Linked DNA regions of Sus scrofa. The protein of the gene in region 1 interacts with the protein of each later gene in a pairwise test. Links are inferred from orthologs where the notes say so. Each region holds a gene or a part of one and is shown in the gene's direction. Other genes may lie near its edges.

Evidence for each region.
Region 2: the proteins of ADRB2 (region 1) and GPR37 interact in a protein complementation assay, tested with the Homo sapiens proteins (2 studies listed by BioGRID and IntAct, with this or other methods). The link is inferred for Sus scrofa from reciprocal best matches to the Homo sapiens genes ADRB2 and GPR37.
Region 3: the proteins of ADRB2 (region 1) and VAPA interact in a protein complementation assay, tested with the Homo sapiens proteins (2 studies listed by BioGRID and IntAct, with this or other methods). The link is inferred for Sus scrofa from reciprocal best matches to the Homo sapiens genes ADRB2 and VAPA.

What each region holds. Positions count from the first base shown.
Region 1 is NC_010444.4:150,031,282-150,035,030, forward strand, and holds the start of ADRB2 (beta-2 adrenergic receptor), read left to right. Parts: upstream 1-1,367; 5' UTR 1,368-2,026; intron 2,027-2,281; 5' UTR 2,282-2,514; coding exon 2,515-3,749. UniProt on the Homo sapiens protein: Beta-adrenergic receptors mediate the catecholamine-induced activation of adenylate cyclase through the action of G proteins. The beta-2-adrenergic receptor binds epinephrine with an approximately 30-fold greater affinity than it does norepinephrine.
Region 2 is NC_010460.4:23,018,566-23,022,314, forward strand, and holds the start of GPR37 (prosaposin receptor GPR37), read left to right. Parts: upstream 1-1,186; 5' UTR 1,187-2,025; coding exon 2,026-3,051; intron 3,052-3,749.
Region 3 is NC_010448.4:98,219,722-98,223,370, reverse strand, and holds part of VAPA (vesicle-associated membrane protein-associated protein A), read left to right. Parts: intron 1-2,231; coding exon 2,232-2,366; intron 2,367-3,649. UniProt on the Homo sapiens protein: Endoplasmic reticulum (ER)-anchored protein that mediates the formation of contact sites between the ER and endosomes via interaction with FFAT motif-containing proteins such as STARD3 or WDR44.

The sequences.
Region 1 (3,749 bases):
ACACTAACAACATATTCTGGACTATTCAGTAATTTATATCAATCTCATTTATAACCCTACTTGAGTGAAGTTTTTACTTGCAAAAGCACTATCTCATTTATCATTACATCATTTGGTTCTCATTTAGCTCAAAAGAAGCAACTTTATTGCACATTTAGACATAGAGGAAATTAGGCTCCAGATTTTGGATTTGCCTAAGGAATGTGAGCTAGAAAGAAACTGGAATGCAGTATTCCAATTCCAGTTGTAATCCTTCTCTACCCTCCACTCTGTTCTGCACATGGTAAAGCAGTACATTGAAAGGATTAAAAAAGAGATTTTAGAATCAGGGAGAACTGGGTTCAGCTCCTGCCTGGCATTGCCAGGCTGTGCCTGTGGGCAAGCTATTCTCCTCTTCCAGCCCCCTTTGTGAATTAAATTAAAAATAACTATCCGCCCCACCCACCCCAGCACACACACCACCAGGCGACTGTGGGAAGGATGAAATGGAATAATGCATGAAAAGCACATAGCAGAATGTTTCATAAATGTTAGCCATTGTTAAGTTATTATGTAATCTAGAAAATATGTTTGGTTACACTGAGTGAAACACTTTCAGTTCTTCAAAGACACTACTAATACATGTAAAAATCAAACCCTGAAAATTAATTTCTTTTTAACAGTGAAGTCACATGCCAGATGCAAAGGCTAATATTTCATGGAAAATGACCTCGTCTGAAGCTTGGTCTGACTTTTTTAAGAAAAAATACCTTTTCCTTTCTGTGGTTTCAAACCTTTTTTTTTTTTTTTTTTTTTTTTTTTTTTTGTCATTTTGCCATTTCTTGGGCTGCACCTGCGGCATATGGAGGTTCCCAGGTTAGGGGTCTAATCGGAGCTGTAGCTGCCAGCCTACACCAGAGCCACAGCAACGCTGGATCTGAGCCACATCTGCGACCCACACCACAGCTCATGGCAACACCGGATCGTTAACCCACTGAGCAAGGCCAGGGATGGAACCCGCGACCTCATGGTTCCTAGTCGGATTCGTTAACCACTGCGCCACGACGGGAACGCCTCAAAACATTTTTAATGTTACACATTCTTAGTAATGTGAACCATAATAAATTGCCATGTTTTAGAAGCAGAGATTATAGAATAGCAGCAATTTCATATGGCTCGGATCACCAAACTACCCAGCAGATGATTTTTCTAGTTGCCCAGGCATGAATGAAGTAGAGCTTCAAAGAAAAATTATTCTATTTTCAGTACATTTTCACTTGAACAGATAATGAAGGAGTGATGCCACACTCACTAGAATTAAAATTAAAGCATACAACTTTCTCTTTCTGTCCCCAAACACACGCATGGATAGCCCAGGTCTGAATGAAATCCCAAGCGTAAAAGCCTGTCTCAGTGCCTGCAGATTCCCAAGGAGAGCACCGAAAGTCCTTGACAGCGAGCGAGCTGAGGAAATGGGCAGCTGCTGAAGTCACCTCCTGAGGTCTCGCCAAATGTTTGAAAGGGAATATGCGAAATGTCCGCATGCTGGGGAGGAAAGGACGGAGATCCAGGGTGCCGGAGAAGGGTTTGTAGAACATGGGTGGGGACGTCCTTGGCTGTGACTCCCGGCTTGCCTCCACGTGGCCCTTAGTGTGTTGTTTACTTCTTTTCGTGTGTGCCTATGACTTTGTGGTTCTGGGTGCTGCTGGGTTTGTTCCTGACCACGTCTCTGCGTTAGTTAAGGTTGACTTTGCGCCGATTTGCTTGTGTGTGTGTGTGTGTCCGTGCGCGCACGCGCGTGTGCTTGTCGGTGTGCTGGATGGGTGTGTCTGCGTGTCGGTGGCTGTGGCTCCGTCTAAGTCCGTGCACGTCTGCCAGGTGAATTGTGCCTGTCCGTGCGTGTCCTGGCGGGCACTCTCATTCTCGTCTATTTCCGAATAGGAGGGAGTGCCTGCGCACTACCCTCTGCCCAGGGTCCTCAGGCCTCACGACAAGCCCGGGCAGGCAGGTAGCAGCCACAGAAGACTGCGCAGCTCCCAGCTCGCTGGTAAGCGGCACCCCCCAACTTCAGCTTCAGCCCTGGGGCCAGCCTGGGTAGCCTGGAGGGAGTGGCGACCGGCCGGCAGGGAGCAGCGGGGCCCCGCCCGGGCCAGCCCCAGGAGGAGGCGGGAGAGGGAGGGAAGGGGCGGGGGGGGGGGGGGGGGCCTCGCCCCTTTGGGGCTTCCCGCGCGCCATTGGTCCCAAGTTGGAGCACGTCACGGGGAGGGCAGTTCCCCTCAAGTCCTGTGCACATAACGGGCAGCGCGCACTCCGAGGCGGCTTCTCCGGAGCGCAGGCAGAGACCCGCCGGCACTGCGAGCCTCGAGCACCCCGGGAGCTGAGTGCACCACGCGCCCCCTCCACACCCACCCCACGGCCGCTGAATGAGGCTTCTAGGCGCCCGCTCGCTGCCCGCAGCCCCCCGCCGGAGGTCGGCCCGCTGAGGCGCGGCGGGTGCGCCGGCTGCCAGCGCGCTCACCTGCCCGCCTGCGCGCCATGGGGCAGCCCGGGAACCGCAGCGTCTTCTTGCTGGCGCCCAACGGAAGCCATGCGCCGGACCAGGACGTCCCACAGGAGCGGAACGAGGCATGGGTGGTGGGCATGGCCATCGTCATGTCGCTCATTGTCCTGGCCATCGTGTTTGGAAACGTGCTGGTCATCACAGCCATCGCCAAGTTCGAGCGTCTCCAGACGGTCACCAACTACTTCATCACCTCCCTGGCCTGTGCTGACTTGGTCATGGGCCTGGCGGTGGTGCCCTTTGGGGCCAGCCACATCCTCATGAAAATGTGGACTTTCGGCAGTTTCTGGTGCGAGTTTTGGATTTCCATTGACGTGCTGTGCGTCACGGCCAGCATTGAGACCCTGTGCGTGATCGCCGTGGATCGCTACCTTGCCATCACGTCCCCCTTCAAGTACCAGTGCCTGCTGACCAAGAACAAGGCCCGGGTGGTCATTCTGATGGTGTGGGTCGTGTCGGGCCTTATCTCCTTCTTACCCATTAAGATGCACTGGTACCAGGCCACCCACCGGGAAGCCTTAAACTGCTATGCAGAGGAGGCCTGCTGCGACTTCTTCACCAACCAGCCTTACGCCATCGCCTCTTCCATCGTGTCCTTCTACCTGCCCCTGGTAGTCATGGTCTTCGTCTACTCCAGGGTCTTTCAAGTAGCCAGAAGGCAGCTCCAGAAGATCGACAAGTCTGAGGGCCGCTTCCACGCCCAGAACCTCAGCCAAGCGGAGCAGGATGGGCGGAGCGGGCCGGGACATCGGAGGTCCTCCAAGTTCTGCTTGAAGGAACACAAAGCCCTCAAGACGCTAGGGATCATCATGGGGACGTTCACCCTGTGCTGGCTGCCCTTCTTCATCGTCAACATTGTGCACGGGATCCATGACAACCTCATCCCCAAGGAAGTTTACATCCTGCTAAACTGGGTGGGCTACGTCAACTCGGCGTTCAACCCCCTCATCTACTGCCGGAGTCCAGATTTCAGGATGGCCTTCCAGGAGCTTCTGTGCCTGCACAGGTCTTCCCTGAAGGCCTATGGGAACGGCTGCTCCAGCAACAGCAACGGTAGGACTGACTACACAGGGGAACAGAGTGGCTGTTACCTGGGGGAGGAGAAAGACAGCGAACGGCTGTGTGAGGAGCCCCCAGGCCCGGAAGGCTGTGCACACCGGCAAGGTACTGTGCCCGATGATAGCACTGATTCACAGGGGAGGAACTGTAG
Region 2 (3,749 bases), on another chromosome or scaffold:
TGGAGACCTCCAGCAGTCCCCTAGCTCAGGGTGTCGCTTCACTCAGACCCTTCTGCCTCCCTCTTGTAAGGACCCCGGTGACTTCAATGGACCCACTTGGATAATCCATGACACTCTCCCCATCTCAGGATCTTTAACTGAATCTCATCTCCAAAGTCCCATTTGCCATGTAAAGAAACATTTTCACAGGTATTAGGCATTCGCATGTGAACATCTTTTGGAAGGCCATTTATTCTGCTATCACAATCCACATTATTTCTCGTTGCATTTTCTCCTGTCTCTCTAGATGTTCCCTTTTGTTCAAAATGTGTTTATTTCTTCCTCTATCACTTACTCTCGCTTAATCAATTGATCCGATACTTGTTGTATTAGCTATTCCCTGAAAGCTGTGGCAGGAGTGTGGGGTTTTACAGTATGAAGGGTGGACAGGCCTGGTCAGCCATACTGGAAGTTCTGTTCAAGTTAATGTCCCCCTACCTGTCACTTCCCACTACTTCATCCAGCAAAACTACTTTCCTTGTGCTCTGAGCAGTCCTAAAGTAAAGTAACCCCTGACAGGATGCCTCCTGACTCAGTGTTGCTCAGCTGATGGTGTATCCTGAGCATCCTCACTGTGTCCCACTCCCGGAAGTGTTCATTATTTTATGATAAGAAGCCTCTGAGCTTCCTCCCCCCCCCCCTCCTCACCTCTCGGAAAATGAAGGAGGTGAGCCCTCCACCTCACCACTCCCTCCGTACCCAGGCCTGGGCACGCACAGAGGCCACAAAGGATCTGAAGCGAACGCATGAGCCTCTCCCCCTCTTCCCGCAACCGGGCTCTGGGACCGGTCGGGCGGGTTCCGACAGCTGGGGAATTAACATGTCCCGCCCATCCCAAGCCTTGAGCCGCGCAGGCTCCGCGCCTCCGCCCTTGTTCCCTCGCGGCTTCCAGCTCCTACGAGTGAGAGCCGCTACAAAAGGCCTGAATGAAACGCATGTGGGTTTAGTGAGTCGTAAGCCACCAGGGGATCCCGTCTCCCTACAAACCAGCATCTCTTGCAGGAGGCAGAGGAGGGGGAGGCGGCAAGGAGGGGAGCTCTCGGCTTCGCCGGCGCGCGCAGCGGCTGGAGCGGCGGGGAGAGGCCGGGCCACCTCCCCCTTCCCGGCCATGCACCGCCTCGCCCGCGGCGGTTCCAGGCACCACACTCTCCGCCCGGGCTGCGCCCGCTGTCGCCGCAACAAGCTCCTGCGGCTGCCGGCACCGTACATCGAGGATCAGCGCCAGCCCTCTCCGCCCCACCCCCATCACCGATTCCCTGCTCTTCGGGGACGCGCCGCCCAGCAGCCCGCGCCGCCCCCTGGTCAACTTTGAAGGAGAGGAGAAACAACTTTGGCAGTGGCCGCGGGTTTCGAATCCCGTTTCTTCTCGGCCTCAGTAGCCTCGGGAGTCGCAGGGGTTAGGTGGGGCAAGAGTTTCCTGGGCGCATCTGCGCGGCATCTGGCTGTTTGCAACCTGTTTCCAGCGAGCGGGAGCGGGATTGTGCCTACTAGTCATCTGAAGGATGGGAACTTGTTTTTCTTTCCCTTGAGCGACCGCGGCTTGCAGCTGGAGAACGCAGTAACCAAAGGACATAAATAGGCAGAGCAACTGTTACCAAGAAGGCTACCACCCCAAGGCAGGGAGAAGCGTGGGGCTTCGTCCGGGCTGTACCCAGTTGCTACATTAATCAACAATCAGGTGTTGTTGGTTGCAAGTTTTCAAGGTCAGCCACCGGGTACAGCGAATCCCTCTCTGAACCTTGGAGATACGCAGCGCTCGGGGTAGATGTGGCTGAGAAATGCACGGATGCCAAACGACCAAGGCTTGTAGAGGGGGAGGGTTGTGACCCCCCCAAGCCCCATCCCCCAACCGCCCGGTAATCTCCGGTTCCTCGCTGCCGGGGCGGGGGTAGTATGTGACATGTGTCTAACTCTCAGCTGCAACTTGGGCAGCAGGTGTCGGTCCTAAGCAGGAGCCACCGCCGCCGGGTGCGCCCTCGCCCAGCCATGCGGGCCCCCGGCGCACCTCTCGCCCGCACCTCGCGACTGCTGCTTCTGCTTTTGCTCGAGGTTTCTGCTTCTCCTGCCCTCGGGTCCGCCCCTGCGCCCAGGAACGAACATTTTCTGGGGGAAAGCGGTTCATCTACACGGATCCAGCGTCGCAGCAGGGACGCCTGGGGACCGGGAAATTCGGCAGGAGACCTTCTGCCAACCGGTGCGCCCATGGAGAAGGAGCAGGCGGCAGCGGTGCTCTCAGCGCCCTCGTGGGACCTACTGGAGGCCAGGCGCAGTGACCCAGGTGCGGGCAGAGGGGCGGGGGCGGCGGCGGCGGAGCCCTCGGGACCTCCCGGCAGGCCACCTGGCGCCTGGAGGTGGAAAGGTGCCCGAAGTCAGGAGCCCCCTGAAACTTTGGGGAGAGGGAACCCCAGGGCTCTCCAACTCTTCCCTCACACCGCAGAGGAGAAGGATAAGGGTCCCAGAAGCGCTGGCATTTCCGGGCGCAGCCAGGAGCAAGGTGTGAGGACAGAACCCGGAGCCGGCGACCTTTATTACTGGCCAAGGAGAACCGGGAAACTCCAGGGTTCCCACCACGACCCCCAACCCAAGATGGTCAATGGACCATCATGGCACGAAGGGCGGACAATTGCACCTCCCGGCAGGGCGCTGGCTCAGAATGGGTCCTCGCTTGAAGGAGTTCACGAACGCGGGGGTCCCCGCCGGGGCAACAGCACAAATCCGCGCTTGCAACTGAAGAACCCGTTCTACCCGCTGACCCAGGAGTCCTACGGAGCCTATGCGGTCATGTGTTTGTCGGTGGTGATCTTCGGGACTGGCATCATTGGCAACCTTGCGGTGATGTGCATCGTGTGTCACAACTACTACATGCGGAGCATCTCCAACTCTCTCTTGGCCAACCTGGCTTTCTGGGACTTTCTCATCATCTTCTTCTGCCTTCCGCTCGTCATCTTTCATGAGCTGACCAAGAAGTGGCTGCTGGAGGACTTCTCCTGCAAGATCGTGCCCTATATAGAGGTATGCCTTCCCGGGGGTCTCAAGCTACTGGCTTTATTCCTTTCTGGGATTTACAGCATCAAAACTGCTGCTCCAGGCACCTACCTGCCTGCTGAACCTCTTCACTTTTTCTCTGAGCCCCTCCCCTATTTCTCTTGCCAATCATTTATACACATTTTGGCATTTATATCCTGGGCACAGGGGTGGACCCAAGCAGTTTGGCCACTCACCTTCAAACTCACCTACTCCTGAATTGTGAAATAATTATGAACTCGTAATATATGGGATTGCTTAGGTTTTAAATTGATCTCTCTAAATATGGTTTTGTATATTTATGATTTGGAATCTGTTGGAGATTCTAGGGTTAATAAGTAGTCCGTCCATGATTGTCATTACTAGAAAAAAAAATGTGTATTATTTGTCTGCTAGGTTTCTAGTGCTCCAACAGGATTTCTTCCCCAAGAAGATTATTACATTTTTTCTTAAATATCAAAATTGGAGTAATATTTTATTTAACAGAGGATATCTGCTTTTCTTTGTTTGGCACTTGACCTCAATATATTAGTAACATCCCAAATTAGTTTAAGCGTCTTTGGCTGTCTGCCATGCCACGCCATCTAAATTCTTATGTCGTTTCTATTTCTCTTTTTTATCCCCTTCTCAATTTTGTAAGAATTTTATATACTTTGTATGAATGGGCCTAAGCAAAAATAACACTT
Region 3 (3,649 bases), on another chromosome or scaffold:
GACATAGTTTGGCCCTTGGTTCATTTATTTCAGTTTTTTTGTTAATGAAAATGTTTTAAACAGTGTTAATTTAAGCAAACTTTAGTTTTAAACTAAGTTGTTGGCGACAACTTGTGCTTTAGGACGCAGCTCTCTCCAGAGGGCTCATGCACTCTGTGTTCAGCCTTAGAGTTGAGCACAGCAGAGACGCTCCTGTTGAGTTAGTGGTCCTTTGCACATTTACTCTAAGGAGTTAATCATCAGAATTTATGACCTTCTGTTGTCGACTTAGAAAAGTGTGGTTAGTACCCAAAGCAGATAGACACACAGTAGCTGTCCTAGTTGTTGATGCCTTCTCACAGTCAGTCACAGGTAGCAAGTCTTAAACTTGGTGATGTTGACTCAGTGTTTCTTATGCGAAGTGCCCCATCCCACTCTCACTCACCTCCCCATACCCTCCAAAAGAAGTAGGCGTTTAGTTTAAGGTAAAAATACCATACCTCTTTGAGGATCGGGGTCTTTTTAGGTATTCTGTTCTTGGGCATTTAATTTAGTCTTTTTAAAAACAGTTGGAAAGGGTATATTATTATGTTGTTGATTTCTTTAGGTTTTTTAGGACTTCGATACTGAATGTGTAGCCAAGATGATTAAAGTTCTTGGTCATCTTATAGGGTAAGAAATGTGCCAGCTTTAGAAGTATAGTGGTTGAGTCTGTTTTTATTTTTATAATTTAAAGAAGTCATTTTTTTGTGTGTGATTTGAACTTATTTATATATTTGAATCGTCATTAGAATATGGCCTCCTTTGGGGAAATATCTCTCTGATTTGGATCATATGTTGAGTAACCTAGGAGTCCAAAAAGACCCTTTTATTTTAGAGTAAAAGGAGGTACTATTAATAATTATTCCTGGACAACACTACCTTTAGGCACTAAAATGTGGGGTCTCCCTCATCCTGGGGAAGAGCAGCTCTTTGACTAGATGTTAATGGCCCACAGACGTCAGTTGAGTTTGTTCAGTGCTGCTCCTGAGAGCCATTCAGCACATTGCCTGGGCTGTTGATAGCTGGGCAAAGATGATACCAAAGCGTTGACTATCTGATATTTTACAGAGTTCTCTGAATTATTAGTCCTTTTCAGTTATTATCAACTCTGTATTGTGAAATCTAATGTCCAATTACTGGTGGTATTTTTTCAAGATTGAGTGTGGTTTTAACTAACTTTTTATTTATGATTTATCTACCTGTTCACTTCTTTAGGTTGAAATAAATATTTTTGAGTTTATTTTAGGCCACCAATTCTACTTGACATTTTCTAAAAATTTTTTTTTTATTAAAGTATGGTTGACTTACAGTGTACATTTTCCAAGTTTTAAATGCCCTCCATTTAACATCTACTAATTACATACTTTCTAGAAAAAACTGATTTTTCTTAATGAAGACTGAAGGACTGTCAAGAATAGGAAATTTCAGGGTCCCATGTATAGAGACTTTTTATGATTAAATGTACGTTATTTTCTATTGCCACAAAGAGCAGATTTGGGCCAGTGCAGTATTACGTAAGATGGAATTCTCTTAGTTATGTGCAGTGATATGAATATCAGTAAGTATTATTTCAGAGTCTGTTCCAACCTTTTTGTATAATATTTTTTGTGTATTAAAGGAATTTTAGAAGATAAGAAAACTGTGGAGATAATAATGGTATTCTAGTATGTAATATGTATCTCTATTGATCCTGGGAGGTAGGTAGTGGGGAGGGGGGGTGTGTTGGGAGGATGTGTTGGGAGACATTTATAAATCATTTTGATTTTTGAACCCTTGAGAAAATTGATTTAACTTCAAAATTGTTCAGGTTGAGTGTTATCAAAGGTAAGAAAATATGAAATGCTTGTTTTTCAGGTATTGGCAAGTATTGATTAGTAACGAAAATTAAGAGCCACACAGAAGGTATTCATTTTAGGACAAAATGAGGCTTGCATAAGTTTTAATACCTTTTTAAAAATATACGTTTAGGTAGTGAACATAATGCAAGTTGATCATAGCTGATTTTGTTTGGGAAATATTATATAAAACTCAGAATGTACTTTTGCTTTATTTAACATAGCTATTATGTATTATTTCTTAAGCGTGATGCATTTTTGTAGACTCCCATGAATGTTTTGGAGCCTAATGATCTCTGTGTTAGTCGTTCCCAGTCCCACGCAGGAGGAGTCAGAGTCTGGTGTGAACCTGAGCCTTGTCTCCCCTGCTCTCAGGGTACCGCCCCGCCGGGGACTGCTCTGGCTGCCACTCCACTGAGCACCACCACCAGCACAGTCGCAGCACCTGCCAGTTATAGCACGAAGAGTGAGCCCAGGGGACTCAGTGTGTTCAAACAGGAGAAGCAGAAGGTTTGTTCTAGGGAGCTAACAGATTCAGGGGTCTACTAGTGTTACTGGTCATGTTAATGGAGTCGCCTGACACGAACGTGGTATTTATTAACTGTGTTATGTGAAGTAATTCGAATTGAAATTTTCAACTATGTTTAAAATTATAGTAGAACAAATCATTTGAAAATTCAGGCCTACAGGCTAAATTCTGTTCTAAAATAATTTAACACTAAAATCTCAGTAGTGAGCAGGATGTGTGAACATTATTATGAAATTGGTATAATCTTTCCTGTCACTGAGATCCGGGGAGCTTAGTCTAAAAAAGACTTGGGTAGAGCAGCAGTAAAGGTCGGAGCTGGCTGGCAAATACTGTTCTCCAGGCAAGTATTTGTGTTTGTGTTAAAAAGATAAATGAGATTACTGCTTATGTTTTCTTACCAAGTACAAATAATAGGAAGCCTTCTTTAACTGTCACTTTAGTTATTTGCAATGCCCCAGGGTAGGAGAATTTGTGGCAAAAGCCCTAAAGATCTTAGGTCACATTTGAATTTATTAATGTTTTTGTGTGTGTACACTTAACATTCACTCAAGTGAAATGACTGCAGTCACAGTAAGATGACTGTGACTTTTTGGTGGTGTCATGGTCGTTGCGATTCCGTTATCATTTCTTGCTTACTGGGAGCTTCAGGAACCCCACAGTTTGAGCAGGTTGCTTATACTTTGATTTGGCTTTGCAGAGAATATGCATACTAAGGCTTTAAAAAATCTGATCCTTTTTCTAAATATCTAATACTTTAAAAATTTTGTGATTTTAGTTATTTACTTCTGGGAATCATGATTCTAGAGACAAAGAGTAAGTGGGTTGTTTAGAGTAAAAATGTATCTTGAGTGACTTTATTATTCAAATACAACCTCTTCCCACGTTAAGGACTTATTTGAGCCTCCTGACAATTTCCTACCATAGCTCTTGGCTTTGCTTCCCTGGACAGACATTTGATCCCTTGCTCATACAGGAGTCACGAGAATGTACCCCAGGTTTATATTCTTTTGTTCCTTTGTTCCTCCCAAGGTTTCATTGCAAAACCCTACTTTGCCTTATATTTTACCTTTTCCTTTCTGTCTAGTCCCTAAGCCCTTGCATATTCTAGTTATCTCCAAAAGGAATAACTTAGAATATTGGAACTGAAATTCTGGAGATGGCTGGGAAAAAAAAAAAAAACAGAGAAGTAAGTTCAACTCATAGATGGAGGGGGATTATTGCAGATAGGCTAAATAATATAGAATAGCGGAAATTGTACAAAATA